Coturnix japonica: one gene and its partners. The protein of the gene in region 2 purifies or fractionates together with the protein of the main gene of each other region. This does not show direct contact. Links are inferred from orthologs where the notes say so. Each region holds a gene or a part of one and is shown on either strand. Other genes may lie near its edges.

Region 1 (3,500 bases), on a different chromosome or scaffold from region 2:
GATCTGCATGTACTTGCTGGAGTAGCATTTTCCCTCTTCAGCCTTCAGTCTGACTACTGCCATGAGACACACAGACTACACCACAAAGAAAGCCACACTGTATATAACGCTGATCTCTCACAGTTCTTAATTCAGAGGCATAAGTTCAGAGGGCAGAACTGCAGCACTGCACTGCAAAGGCTGATATGCGAAGAGGAAAAAAGCCCAAAAGACAATGGCTTTATTTTAGACCCAACTAATACAGAATTTACCATAGAATCATGGAATGGCCTGGGTTGAAAAGGACCTTAAAAATCATGTAGTTTCAACCCCCCTACCATGGGCAGGGTCACCAACCAGGCTGCCCAGAGTAATTCAGTATTAGTATTAGGCTAATAGTATTTACAAGAGAAAAAACAAGGTACCAGCTTTCTTAAAACACGTAGAAACTTTGGTTGTTAGTTTTAACTGAAGGACAACATGGTTTTGAGTTTCTGTACCTTTTAGAAGGCACAGGCCTTCTAAACTGCGGTAGAAGCAACAATTCCTTCAATCCAGGAAATTGGCTTGATTAAAAGTCATGCAGCAGCTGCAAATTCTTAACAAGAAATTATTTGAATGTGTGCATGCTTATTACAAATGGTCACCATATTCTTTCAAAATGCCATAGCAATAATAGTACTAATTGTGGGCTGTCTCATCGGCTCTGGTATTCCAAGCTCCACTTCTAGCAATTAGTGAGGAACAAGGGCATCCACAACATCCAGCATTTGGGCCATGTAAAAAAGGTGATGTAAAACATGGAAAAGTATCGCGAAGCTTTGTCAAAAAACCAAACAACTCAATTGGGTGGGCTGTGATACTCAGGTTTTAGAGGGTTGGAATTGGATTGGAGAAAACTGCAGGATTAGAATAAACTAAGCAGCTAATGAAAAAAGGATGCAGCTTATTAGTCCTCAATGAGTGGTAGAGTGTGCATACGAAAGCTTGAAATGGTAAGTACTATCAAACATTGAATACACAGGGCACGGAAAAGAAAAGTTAAATGTTGTTTAAACCAACTCTTTCATATTTCAGAATGTACAATTCAGGTCAAACTTCGAGCTTCACTTTAGCTAGTGTTTCAGCTAAGATTTCAAATAGCGTCTATTTGGAAATACACATGGAAATCTCCACTCAGGATCTGAACTGATAATGATATAAGACTATCATGCCAAGTGATTACCAACACTCTGCTAAAGGCTTTACATTAATATGTTTATCAGCAATTCTGGGCATGAGCTCGGTGCCTGTGCAACAAAACAAAAAGGTCTTTTCCATGAAGATAAACAGGTATTGCACAAAGTGTGTTTGTGTAAGTTCACTTCCTTCACACCTAAACAGGTTTAAAGAGAAAGAAAACACAACAAAAACAGAAAAACCAACACTGGGAATACCAGGCAATTTTGAGAAAGCAAAACAGAAAAAGGATTTGAACATGAAATAAGAAGTTGCCCACTCACTTCTTTTTTCTTTCTTTTTAAATTTTCCTTTCTTCTTCCCATGCTCCTTTTCATCATCTGATATTATATCTGGAGGCTCATGCAAGCTGTCATGAGGCGGCGAAGGCTCACCAGTACGGTACAACCCAGGGAATTTTGTAGGGCTGATCTCTTCAGAGCTGGGAGTACGAGCGAGACCCCCACTGTGCTCTACCCGACGGTGTTCACTGGGGCTGCTGGTGGGAGGCAGGAAGCACTCGGTCATTCTGATTCCCTGCTATCAAAGTGAAATCTTCTGCTACCTGTCCATCACACCTGGAGCAGGGGGGAAAAAATGATAAAAAAGAATGTGAAGTCATTTTCAAAGCATTTTGTTTAGAGCTCTACCTTGAAAATGAAACAAACATCGATGCCTTTTACAAGGAATGCTCCACCTGATGTCATGAGGTGATAATAAAACAGAGCAGGCCCTAAGCTTAGTGCTTGTAGAATCTGGGCATGCAGTTAGCTGCCGAGCCATGCTAACACAATAGGAGAGCTGTTATTTCAGCCAGCTTTGCTTTACACCACACCAAACACTACACATTAAGTATCAGAATATATGTTTTACGTTCAAAGCAATTCTTACAAAATTCAGAGGCAGTTTACATGTTATTCATACTGCTGCTCACTGTGAACCAGCTAACTTTACATCACTGAAATAAAATAGGATTGTTTGGAAGCTCAGAGTGTCTGTGAGGACTGCATTTGCACCAAGACCACTTTCATCTTTCTCAAGCATATTTTATAGATGCAAATAAGAACCTGCCTAACCTGCTGCAGTAAGAAAGGGAGGAAAAAAATAGAGTTCTGAAGTCAAATCTATCTTCTAATTATGTTAATGTAAAGTAAAGAAGATAGAACAAGTATAATTGTTTTTTTCCTGGTGTGCAGCAATCACGAGTTCACTTTTGAAGAGGCTACACCAGATCCTCTGCACCCAGATCCTTCCGTGCTGTTTCATAGGGAGCCCTGGTAAAATTAAAACTAAGATGAAAATTACTGACAGAAGCCAATATGTAAATTCCCAGTAATGGAACTCATAAGTAAAGAGCAACTCCTAATGTAGGTGAATTTCAGGAATTCCATGGGACAAGCTATGCCATATGGAATGTCAGCTTTCTGAATTTGGTCTTTTGTATGTGAACACCCATAGAACTCTATTTGGAGCAAGGAGCTGCAGTCCCATGATCATTGTGGGTGCCAGAGTGTCTTACAGTTCTGTGAAAAAGAGAGTAAATCCCAAGGACAGAAAACAGCCATTTCCTATACCACAGAATCACAGAATCACAGAATTGTAGGGGTTGGAAGGGACCTCTAGAGATCATCGAGTCCAACCCCCCTGCCAAAGCAGGCTCCCTACACCACGTCACACAGGTAGGTGTCCAGGCGGGTCTTGAATATCTCCAGAGAAGGAGACTCCACCACCTCCCTGGGCAGCCTGTTCCAGTGCTCTGTCACCCTCACTGTAAAGAAATACCTGCTAATACTTGGATGACAGGATCACATCATAGTTCCATGCTAATTTGAACTTTAATCCAACTTAAGTCTGCTGCCTTGCTGCAGCTTAAAAGCCTGCCAAATCTACTGTAAGACAAATAGAAGGGAAAGCAACCATTTTTAAAGCTGCCAGCTCCATAACCTCCTTGTCTGTGCAGCCATACAAAGTATCACGGCAACCACAAAGAAGACAAATTCAGAAGGAGCTGCTCTGCAGACAAAGGGATCAAGGTGACTGTGTAGCCATTGCCTCAAAAAACAGAATTAAAACATGTTAAGATTGCACAGAAACGCCACATCAGACCTATCTCCATGAGAACCGGATCACTGTAACAATGTATACAGACACAAAGGGCTCAGGCTTCTACAGTAGCCATTAGACTCCGCAGTCATCCCTCCTATTCCTGCAGACATGCTGAGCAAACAACAGTGAACACTTAGCTAAGAAAGACAAACAATCACACACACACAGAATCACAGAATGACCCGGGTTGGAAGGGA
Region 2 (4,137 bases):
TTGGTAGCAAAGTCACCATCTTAAAAGTCTGCTACAAAAAGGATCGTGTACAAAAACAAACTGCTGGGATGTGTGTTTGAATGCATGACAGCTCTAATGCCGGGTGTTCCTTTAAAAGCCAGACTTTGCCCTTTCACACCTACATTGTGCCACGCACTTGGAACGCAGCTCAGCAAAGCAGTGTCCTGATGCCAGGCTGTCAGCAGCTTCAATTCTGAGGTGCAGCATGTGGCTGACCTGGGAGCACAGACACAATGCACTAAGTGCAGCATCCACACCAGAAGAAAAACACCTTCCTGGAATTTCCTTGCAGCCCTGATATCACCTTGAATGAAAAGAAGAGCGTTTATTACGTACAGAGTCCATCTTGGAAGCAGCAGCCACAAGTCAGTCGATAAGCTGGCACAGAGCACCAACCCATTTAGCAGTCTATTAAAAGAAAGTTTGGGTTCAGACTTAACAGTAAGTAAGACTTCTGTGCATTAGCGAGCTTATCCAGCTAAGCAGTTTGAGGTACATTAGCTGCTGGAGCTCTCATCCAGGAAGAAGCCAGGAGAGGTGCTGCAGCTCTCCCAGGACCAAGGGCAAACCAACTGTAACGGTTTGTGCATTCCAGCAGTCACTGTGATCTTGGACAAATGACAGCAGTAGAAGCAGGAGGCGGATTAGTCAGGCTGCTCTGGCAAACAAGCTATTTAAGAAACTAGTCTTTTCAAGCTAGCACTAGCTGTTATCAAACCGACAGGCTTAAGGCTTACCTCGAATGTCATCACGCAGCAGCTAATCTGAGCACCTAAGCTTTGCTTATAGCGCTGCATTAGCCACTGTCCAGGAGGCCACGGGCCACACCTGGTTTTAAAGAAGAGTAGCCGCAATCCTGGGGAACACAGGCCGTGTAATTTAATTAAGACACATAATGTGAGCTAAAGAGCTCCCGAGATAAGCCCATCGGTGTCAGAGGAAGCGTTCCAATTTTAAACCCAATCCCACAAATCCCCACAAGCAGTGGGCAGGAAGAGAAGCACGTTGAACACTAAGCAGGCTCCCCTCCTACAGCCTCTGCGTGCCGTGCTGCACGCCATCAGCTTATAGAGGATGAGAGAAACCCTGACACAGGGAAACACGACAGGCCTCGTTATTAAAGCACCACACAGCCCTCCAGCTTAGAGCATATTCACAGCCTTCAGCTGTACAAGCTCAGGAAACTGATGCAAGACACTGTGCTGCACTAGATTAGCTTCATCTCACCTCTGCACCAAGAGGCCAAGAAAAGTTTAACCAGGGTCACGTGAAGCAAACAAAAAGACACACACAAACCCTGAGATAGCCCAGAAAGAATCCTCTATCTCTGCTTCAAAAAGCTGCAGATATGACCCTTTGTACCCTCAAGACTCAGCTCTTCAAAGACCAGGAATGTGCTGTCTCGAGAGAAGGGGAGAAGCCGGCCATAATATCCTATGGAGACATCACATCATATGGAAGAAAATACAGCCCAAAGGACGCCGGGTATCTCTGTCACTAGATGTCAGTAACATGGCTCTGCCCGCAGAAGATGAACGATGCCCCCGCTCTGACAAGGAAAATATGGCAGCAGGCAGCTGGGATGCATCTCATCAGGCTGGAGGTTGTCCCTGCAAGCAACTCACTGGGACAAGTCTAATTTTTACTATAAGGCAAAAAAAAGCAGTAACTGCAGCGCTGCATTCACATTAATGGTGCCCAACAACTTATGTACCCGCATAAGCCTAAATGTGGATACAAATCCAACACAACCAGAGCTCTGAGCTACTGAAGCCACTCAGATGTGCTTATCTGGGAACGTTCCAGGCTCAGATTCCGAAAGCCTTAGGCTAAAAACTCAGGGCAGCTTTGTCATCCTGAAGTGAGGAGAAAACAGAGATCACACAGCTGACGGGGAGTCATTTCCCGGTGGGGCCAGCGATCAGCTGCACAGGGCGACAAACAAGGCAGCTTTTCCTGCAGCTCTGCAGGATCCAAAGCCCAGCCCGAGGAAGGAAGGAAGAGGAACCGCATCCATAGGCGCTGCTGGATAGAGGCCCTCTTTACGCTTCAGCACAGCATCACCAGAGGCGCTCTGCGCCCAGCAGCTTTTCCATAGAGGAAGCTGGAGGTGACAAGCCACGGCCGAGCGAAGCCCCGTCCCATCGGCTGAATGATTCCCGGGGAAGTTCCCGCTGATCCGATTAAAGGACCTTTGTTCGGGCTGACCCGGCACGTAGCCGGGGCCGTTCCCCAGGCTCCGTGTGCCGCACCGAGCCCACCCGACCCCCCAGGGCCGCCGCTCCGACCCCACCGCTCCAAGAAACGCCCGAGCCCGGCGGGTTTAGAGCCGGTCGCATCCCATCCATCCATCCATCCATCCATCCCATCCATCCCATCCATCCCATCCATCCCCCGGGGCCGAGCACAGTCCTGCCGCGCAGCCCCGCCGCCCCGTGAACTGCGGCCGAGCCCCGAGCGCTGAGGGGAGGCGGCCCGGCGCTGTCACAGCCGCACCGAGGAGGCCCGCGGACCCCCGGCCCCGAGCGTTGAGGGAACGGCCGCTGCCCGCCGAACCCCGGCCGGTCACCCAGCCCAACACAGATAGAGCCCCACAGCCCCACAGGGAGCCAAACCAGGCCGCTCGGCCCCATGGCAGCACGCCGCCTCACCTGCCGCCGCCCGCCGCCGCTCGCCGCCCAGCGCCCAAGATGGCGGCTGCCGCCCCCCCGTCCCTCAGCGCCCCCCCTAGCACTGCAGAGCCGCCGCCGCGCATGCGCTGCCCGCGCCCCGCTGGCACTGCGCATGCGTCAAGCGTGGAGGCGGGAAGGACTGATCCGCGCGGTGCATGCTGGGAGATGTAGTCCTGAGGCGCGGACGCGCTGGGAGTTGTAGTTCGTGGGGGACGGCACAGAGCAGCTAGGCCTCAATATGGGGCTGTAAGGGGAGGCCGCCCTCACCCTGCACGGCCCCGCTGGTCCCCACTGCACAGTATGGGCATTTATGGGCATATATGAGGCTGACACCATGCATGGGCACACACATTGTATATCCCAATGGAGAACAGCCAGCACCCCTACACAGCGGGATGTGGCAGGGAGTGGGAAGCAGAATGGTCCAAAACAAAACGCGAGGCAGGAGTCCAATAAAACTATGTTTATAAATAAAAACAAGGAGAATGGTTCTGTTTTTGTAAAATCCAGTGAGTAGGGCAGGGTGAGGAGAGGCAGTGAGAGGGACCAGGGGTTACAGGGGGCAGTTGGGCAGTGCCACCACACTGAGCCCCATGTGCATGGAAAGAGGTGTGAGCAAGCGGGGAGGGCACATGGGGCAGGCTGGAGGGTATAATACAGAGCTCAGGAGTGAAACACATTTTATCTCCAGAGTGTAAGAGAACCACAAACAGAAAGAGTGAAGGAGACAACAGGAGGGCGCTAAGGGAGCATGGACCCACATCTCCTCCCCACGGCCCAGCAGGAGTGGAGAGGAGCAGCTCTGAGCGGCCGTGAGAGGAGGAAAAAGGATGAGGAGGGCTGGAGCAAGTGACCCACAGCTCTGTGTGAGCCCAGAGGAGCTGCAAGCACTGCCCACAAAGCTCACGTCCCTCCCAAGCATCGCACACAGGGAATGGAGCAGGGTAAGGTCAGTGCTGCCCCTCTCTGCACACAAACACTGTGTTCCCCCATAGTGTGCCTTCCCTCACTCACTGGCTGCATTCTCAGCTCTCAAAAAGGTCCCACTGCTGTGTGGTGTTGCAATGGCAGAGCCACAGCTGCCCCAAGGACTGCCCTTGCAAGTGACGGGGGCAAAGAGCAGGGCAGAGGCCCTCTCTAGGCTTCTTTGGGCCAAGTGAGCACTCACCCCATAGCCCTGAATTCTACAAGTCCCATAGGAAGTAAGGCAGGGGGCATGGCCCCAGTGCCAAGGACAGGGCAGGGGGAAGGAGTGCTCTTCCCTAAGGCCGGGGCAAGAAGGGGAGGCAAAGGGCACCATCTCCCCATTCCCCACAGGCAGTGAAGCCCTGGAACATTCAGACATTGGCTGAAAGGCAACTACAAAGGGATTTAAAATTCATGTAAGGCTGGGCCCGGCTCCCCTCTCAGGGCGTCTTCCGCTAGGGGGAGAAAAGCAGCCATC
Region 3 (2,636 bases), on a different chromosome or scaffold from region 2:
GTTGGACTGCTGAGGAGCCTGATTAGGAACACCACTGAAAGAAAGAAAGAAAGAAAAATCAAACGTGTACCCCTAAGAAAGCCTGTTAACTCACTGCTCCTTCAGCACACATTAGAATGTCACCCTTCCTGTGCACAGTCCCCTCCATCACAGTTTACCTGGATGCAGTGTTGAAGTCTCCCCAGACGTCTGTGGCAGTTGACGTTGGTGTCTTGGATGCATATGCGGGAGCATCTAAGTCTAATAGAATACCTGAGAGAGAAGAAAAGGAAAAATCTGAAATCTGTCAAGTTAGTAGGAAAAAAGAAACAAAAACAACCTGCAGGCATTTAAACTGTCACGTTATACAAACTACTGGATGCAGTAGCACAGAACCTTTGAATGGACTCCAGCTCTTCAGAAGAAGAGAGAATTTTTAAGGGCCTAGTCTGTGTTAACAGCAGCCCTTTTTGTCAAAGGTTCACTGAGGCTCCAGCTCCTGCTATAGGGTTATTTTGTCTTCAGGAACCACTAGGCCTCCATCTAGCTTATCAACTGGCAGGTTTATAACATATTATCTCCTCCGAGGGGACCTAAGGTTTAGACTCAGTACAAGCACAGCAATCATAACAGTTGCTATCAGTACAAATGACACACTGCAGCCCAGCCCTATTCAGAAGCTTGTGCTTTCTTCTCACTCAGGTCTGTATAGATCTATGAATTCAGAAATAGTGCTACGTTGTGGTCATGCATTTAATTCGGCATCCAGAAGACACAGCAACCTCTTTGTTACAGCCCAGTCTCACTATATTTTGTACCTTCTGGTCTTCATACTAAAAGCTACCTCCTTCCCTGTTTAAAGCCTTTCTGGAAGTGCTTTTCCTGCACCTTTCAACAACCATGGGCTATTTGTATTTCCCTACAAAAAGCAAGCAACTGAGCACTCCTTTTCTGAACATTCCATACAGCTCTGCCAGTGCCCCTAAAGCACATACAAGTTCAGAAGAATCCAAGTACTTAAATTCCATATCTACCTGTCCAGGTCATTTCGGCCACTTCATTTGTTTTCTCCTTTTGCAAGGAGAACAGCTACAATGCTATTCGAGGGGCTAACATTATTAAACAAACACAGAGATCCTCAGGTCAAAGAGGGAAAAGACCTCAGGGTGCATCAAGTTTCATCGGTGTTTTTTTTTAACTGCTCTGTTGATATTACAATGAACTTGAACATCCCTTCCCTGACACAGGCCTCTGCTCTCTCTCTTTGTGCCTGCTAACATTTGATAGGTTGTTTGCTCTATGTTAACATTTACCTGCACTGCTCACGTTACTGGATTTCGGTACGGGTGGTGGTGTGACATGGTTGGCAATTGATGTGGAAGAAGCAGGAGGGACCGAAGGGGCTGCAGTTTTGCCTCCTGGTGGGGGTGGCAGCAGACTTAAGCCCCCTGATCCAGACACACGAGGCTTGGCTGCTCCTCCTTTCTTTGTTGTCATGTTCTATATAAAAAATGAGAGGACAAGTGAGGAAGGTTATCTACTGGAATATCCAGAAAAAGAGACAGGGTTGACTGGGCTCCTTACCCCAATGCTCAGTTTGATGGTCTGCCCTTCCTTAAACCCTAAATCCAATTTAGGACGTGTGTCAGCATCCAGGGTCTCCTTGGAGATCTCAGTTTCCTGCTTCACCCACCTAAAAAGAAGACAGAAGAAAGATAAGAGACTGTGGCAAATAGGAGCAGAGTGATTCTTTTCCACAACCTGACAAGTAACTATCTTGCCTTTTCAAACCAGATACCCCTCCACTCCCAGCGTAGTACAGCAAAAAGCTCAAAAAACGACAAACCCAAGAGACTGTCTGTAGTGTCATAGGATTTAAGAATAAGACTCAGGGGCCAGAAGGAAAGCTGAGGAGGGTATGTAGGAAAGAAGAGCATACAGCAACGGGATGAGGAAAAGAGTAGCTTCAGATTAGATATCAGGAAGACATTCCTCACTGTGAGTACAGTGAGATACTGGAACAGGAGGTGCCCAGGATGCTCCCTCCCTGGAGCTGTTCAAGGCCAGCTTGGATAGGGCTTTGAGCAACCTGGTCTAGTGGGAAGCGTTCCTGCCTACAGCAGGGAGACTGGAGCTAGATGGTCTTAAAAGTCTCTTCAAACCCAAACAAACCTATTGCTTCCAGATTAGACCCTGAAGGACTCCCAGCTCACATGACAGTTGGCAATACATTCAAGCATTCCTAATGGTGCCAGAGCAGGGCTTCATGTCCTTCCCAAGGAAACCTCTGCTAAGTGAATGAGCACCACCACCCAACACATTCCAGGGGCCAGAGGAAAAAATAGCATTCCAGAAAAGCACAACTCACTTGAAGTGATCCTGCAAAGACACATTGAAGTCAAAGGCATCACCACGATCTGTGAAACCGATGCCTATAAAAGCACTTCGTCCTAGCAAGGAGACAGAAGGAGTCATTGGAAATGCACTGTGAATGGGCCCGTGTTCATTCACTCCAACAACCGCTCTGTGCTACCTCCTTCCAATTGATCTACTGCTGAAATCAGCATCTCACAGAATGTCACTGTTCCTAGCCTACAGGATGCACTCCTGCCATGTGGTACCCTCAGAAACCAAATGCTCCTCCCCAGCCCCCGGAC
Region 4 (3,500 bases), on a different chromosome or scaffold from region 2:
AGATGTTTCTAAAGATAATTTCTGTAGGACAAAGCATGCCACACTTACTTTCCATCTGTGTCTGATGCGGCTGCATAGTGCAGAGGTGTACAACCCCTCTCATCAAGGTCGTTCACACTAGCTCCAGATCCCACAAGGGCAAACAGGCACTGATAATTACAATTGGCAGCAGCATAATGGAGTGGAGTTCTTTAGTACACATTTGAATAAAAAGTACAAAGGTAAATACCAGCAAAATAATACTAGAGAGACAGAAAATGCAAATGAAAATAAAACTTATATCCTCCTTTCCCTTTTTAGCAAATCTCTGCAGCGAAGTTACACATAAATACAATATTAAGAATTATCTTTGAGGGGCCATTTAATAACACAGACTATCTAGGAATATCTGTCAGCCACCACACACTGTGGTATGAGAAGTTCTATATGAAATTTCTTGTTTAAACGTACAGAGAAAAACAGTTTACATTAGACATTATTAGTGGTTAAGTAGGTACTTCCAACTATGTGAAAAATATGGACAAATTCAAGAACTGCGCAGCAACTAAACAAGGTCAAAATACAACAGTTAGCAAGTCAATATTTTCTGCATATTTAGATAATAGAGGCAGGCAGGATTTTTTACTACAATAACGTTTCAGAGGTAATGTTAAAGAAAGATCTTGAAAATATACACCGCTTCCCTCTAACAAAAGCACGACGTACTGAAATACTGATATCGAAGAATCATATCAAAGGAAACTTATTCTATCTTCAGTTCTCGAAATAGCAGTTTAGCACCACAATGATAAAGAATTTCTGTTTCTGTTCATAAAAACTGATTGCTACTACAAATTTCTCCATTTTAAGGGTGGAAGGCACTTCCAAATGGATGTGAATGGCAGGAGTAGTGCATGAGTAATGCAATGATTTCAAGATGTCATGCAGGATTCTGCACAAGTAGTGATCTTGCAATATGACCTTAAATAATTCTACACTAAAAACAGAAATTAATGTCATTCCAAACAAGTACTGAGCACAAATGAGGAAAGGAACAGTAACAGATGGATATAATGTGAGGAAGATGAGGAAGTTGTAATAAAACTTTGGACTTTTAACTAAAGAAAAACCCTTCACAAACAGTAACAAACTTACAGTCTGATATATTATTTGGAAAACATTGCTAATGTCCTTGAATGAGTGAAACAAACTCATTACGTTCATGTTCTAAGCAGCGAAGGCTCGTAACACTACAGCTGAGTATGTAATATGCACTTTAAAAACAAGACTGAGCACCTACCTAAATATATATATATGTCTGCAATTTTCTATAACATATGCTGAAGCAGACTTTAAGGGAAATTACTGTTTAAAACATATAAACTGAAATGAACAGGTTTGACCACATATCAATATGCATTTTATAACACTTTAAAAACCCTTCAAAACATAAAATTCTAAACTCTCTTACCTCCCGAATCTGTCCTTTTTGTTGAAGTCTGCACCAGTATTCAGCAGAAGATTTAGGCACTCCAAATTCCTATTAAAATAATGCAATACTGCTTGTGATTGCAGATTACAGTTTCTTAATATTGACCGTTACAACTACCAGAACTGCTATGAAAACATCTGAAGATGGTATTCTTATTAAAACTAAACTATACAAAAACTTTTGAAAAGTTTAATTTCTGTGAATCTGAATACGTATTTCACAGTTGCAGAACCAAACCAAGAAGGACATGGCCGTTAACAATCCTAATAGGAGACTCAATTCTTTAAAATAAAATAAAATAAAAATTATACCTGTACAGCACATGATTTTTGCTACCAGGATTCCAACACAGAAACAAGTTTTTAAGGTATATATCTGAAGCTCAAGTGTAAGTTATAATGTAACGCAAATGTTTTACTTAAGCAATTCATTTTCAGTACAATCTGATCACACCAACAGATGTGCAACACTGCACCTTTAAACAAAATCTTAATAACTTTTCTAAATTGTAGATGAATGAGGGAATGAGTCACAAATCATGTGTTTTAATATGAAAAGACAGCATTTTAATCTTAATCATTTGTAACAAGAATGTACCTATAGAGTAACTTTTCACTAAGAATGATTATTTAGCAGTATTACTTAATTAACATTGAAATAGAAAATGAAAATATCATTATAATGGAGTTTTTGTGTCCCACAAAGTGTATCATGAGATTTATTACCCAGTTCTTCCAGGCAATTTTGAGTAGCTGCTATAGATAACCTACAATGCAATAACAATAATCAATATAGATCACAACTCAAGTGATGAACAAGTAGTTCTGACCACTTCATCCACCTAAACTCTGGAATTTAATTATGACTTTTAATTTTGCTTGATTGATCTCTTGTTTCTGGATACAGTAAAAATGTATTTCCCAAAGTTGCTGTTCACCTCATGTCCTGTGGTGACCTAGAAGGGCACGACATCTTTGCAGCTGTATCATCACCCACGGGAAATTAAAATAAAATCCAGTTCATCCCCAAGCATAAACCTAATATAAAGCTGATGATACCTGGACACTGAACTCCAGTAATTACTTACAGAGCTGAATAATTAATTTTTATTGCTTGTAGATGGAATCCATCTTGAAATTAGTTTTGCATTTACATAATTCCATAGGAGAAATGCAAAGAAGAAAGAATAATAAAAAAGGAATGGTCAGCAATTAAAAAATGAGCACTAAAAATAAAGGCATGAATGCTTTTTACATACCCTCCAGCTGCAGCTGCGTGAAGACAAGTTCTGCCAAAGTCATCTGGTGTGTCTATGTCAAAACCTATAAATCAAGTATTTGTAAAGCAGTTATGCAACACAGGCTTTCACAAAACTGTTCTCATCTACCCTTAAGAGAAATGCTTGCAAAGCAAACTTAGCAGCTACTTCAGAAGAAGCTCTGAGGCACTGAAAACAAGATTCATTTGAAACTAGTTCTTGTTATTTGCAGTGTTTTGAAAAGCACATTCAAATAAAACTGAAAAGGAAAAAGTACAACAATTTGCAGCATTGAGGCAAGAAGCTATGTTGTTCCTTATCTATTTAACTGCTAATACTTCTGTATCATTTACTACTGGACATAATATCCATGACGATAATAGGAAAACTTAAGAATAAGCTAGAATTTCTACATGTTCCCTAGATAATTTTTATTTTTTTCATAAAGAGGGAGCTATCAACACTATCAAATCCAGAAGCAACTTAACATTTCATCCTTCATTTTAGCTCTCTAGTCTCAGGCAAAGACCTTCACTAAGCTGGAGATCCATACTTAGAGTTACCATTTAAGCCTTAACTTTGCCCTGACGTTTCTATGAGAAAGACTGTCCTTTGTGCATTATTAATTAAGTAACTAAAAACTGATTGGTCAAACTTATCTTTGTTTTTAAGATGGGTATCTGAAGAGAAAGCTGTAGCAGAAGTCAAGTCTACACAGTCAAATAAAACAAATGGTACACCTCAAACGTCTCAGCTAAATGGCACGTCCAG

The links.
Region 1: the proteins of AP2M1 (region 2) and RALBP1 purify together in Homo sapiens (affinity purification with mass spectrometry; 3 studies listed by BioGRID and IntAct, counting the BioPlex papers as one, with this or other methods). This does not show direct contact. The link is inferred for Coturnix japonica from reciprocal best matches to the Homo sapiens genes AP2M1 and RALBP1.
Region 3: the proteins of AP2M1 (region 2) and NECAP1 purify together in Homo sapiens (affinity purification with mass spectrometry; 3 studies listed by BioGRID and IntAct, counting the BioPlex papers as one, with this or other methods). This does not show direct contact. The link is inferred for Coturnix japonica from reciprocal best matches to the Homo sapiens genes AP2M1 and NECAP1.
Region 4: the proteins of AP2M1 (region 2) and ANKRD28 purify together in Homo sapiens (affinity purification with mass spectrometry; 3 studies listed by BioGRID and IntAct, counting the BioPlex papers as one, with this or other methods). This does not show direct contact. The link is inferred for Coturnix japonica from reciprocal best matches to the Homo sapiens genes AP2M1 and ANKRD28.

Annotation. Positions count from the first base shown.
Region 1 is NC_029517.1:88,800,210-88,803,709, forward strand, and holds part of RALBP1 (ralA-binding protein 1), read right to left. Parts: intron 1,776-3,500; 5' UTR 1,726-1,775; coding exon 1,482-1,725; intron 1-1,481. UniProt on the Homo sapiens protein: Multifunctional protein that functions as a downstream effector of RALA and RALB. As a GTPase-activating protein/GAP can inactivate CDC42 and RAC1 by stimulating their GTPase activity.
Region 2 is NC_029524.1:13,826,350-13,830,486, reverse strand, and holds the start of AP2M1 (AP-2 complex subunit mu), read right to left. Parts: upstream 2,801-4,137; 5' UTR 2,673-2,800; intron 1-2,672.
Region 3 is NC_029516.1:68,443,439-68,446,074, forward strand, and holds part of NECAP1 (adaptin ear-binding coat-associated protein 1), read right to left. Parts: intron 2,430-2,636; coding exon 2,348-2,429; intron 1,673-2,347; coding exon 1,564-1,672; intron 1,480-1,563; coding exon 1,293-1,479; intron 253-1,292; coding exon 159-252; intron 35-158; coding exon 1-34. UniProt on the Homo sapiens protein: Involved in endocytosis.
Region 4 is NC_029517.1:31,175,530-31,179,029, forward strand, and holds part of ANKRD28 (serine/threonine-protein phosphatase 6 regulatory ankyrin repeat subunit A), read right to left. Parts: intron 2,794-3,500; coding exon 2,730-2,793; intron 1,520-2,729; coding exon 1,451-1,519; intron 190-1,450; coding exon 49-189; intron 1-48. UniProt on the Homo sapiens protein: Regulatory subunit of protein phosphatase 6 (PP6) that may be involved in the recognition of phosphoprotein substrates. Involved in the PP6-mediated dephosphorylation of NFKBIE opposing its degradation in response to TNF-alpha.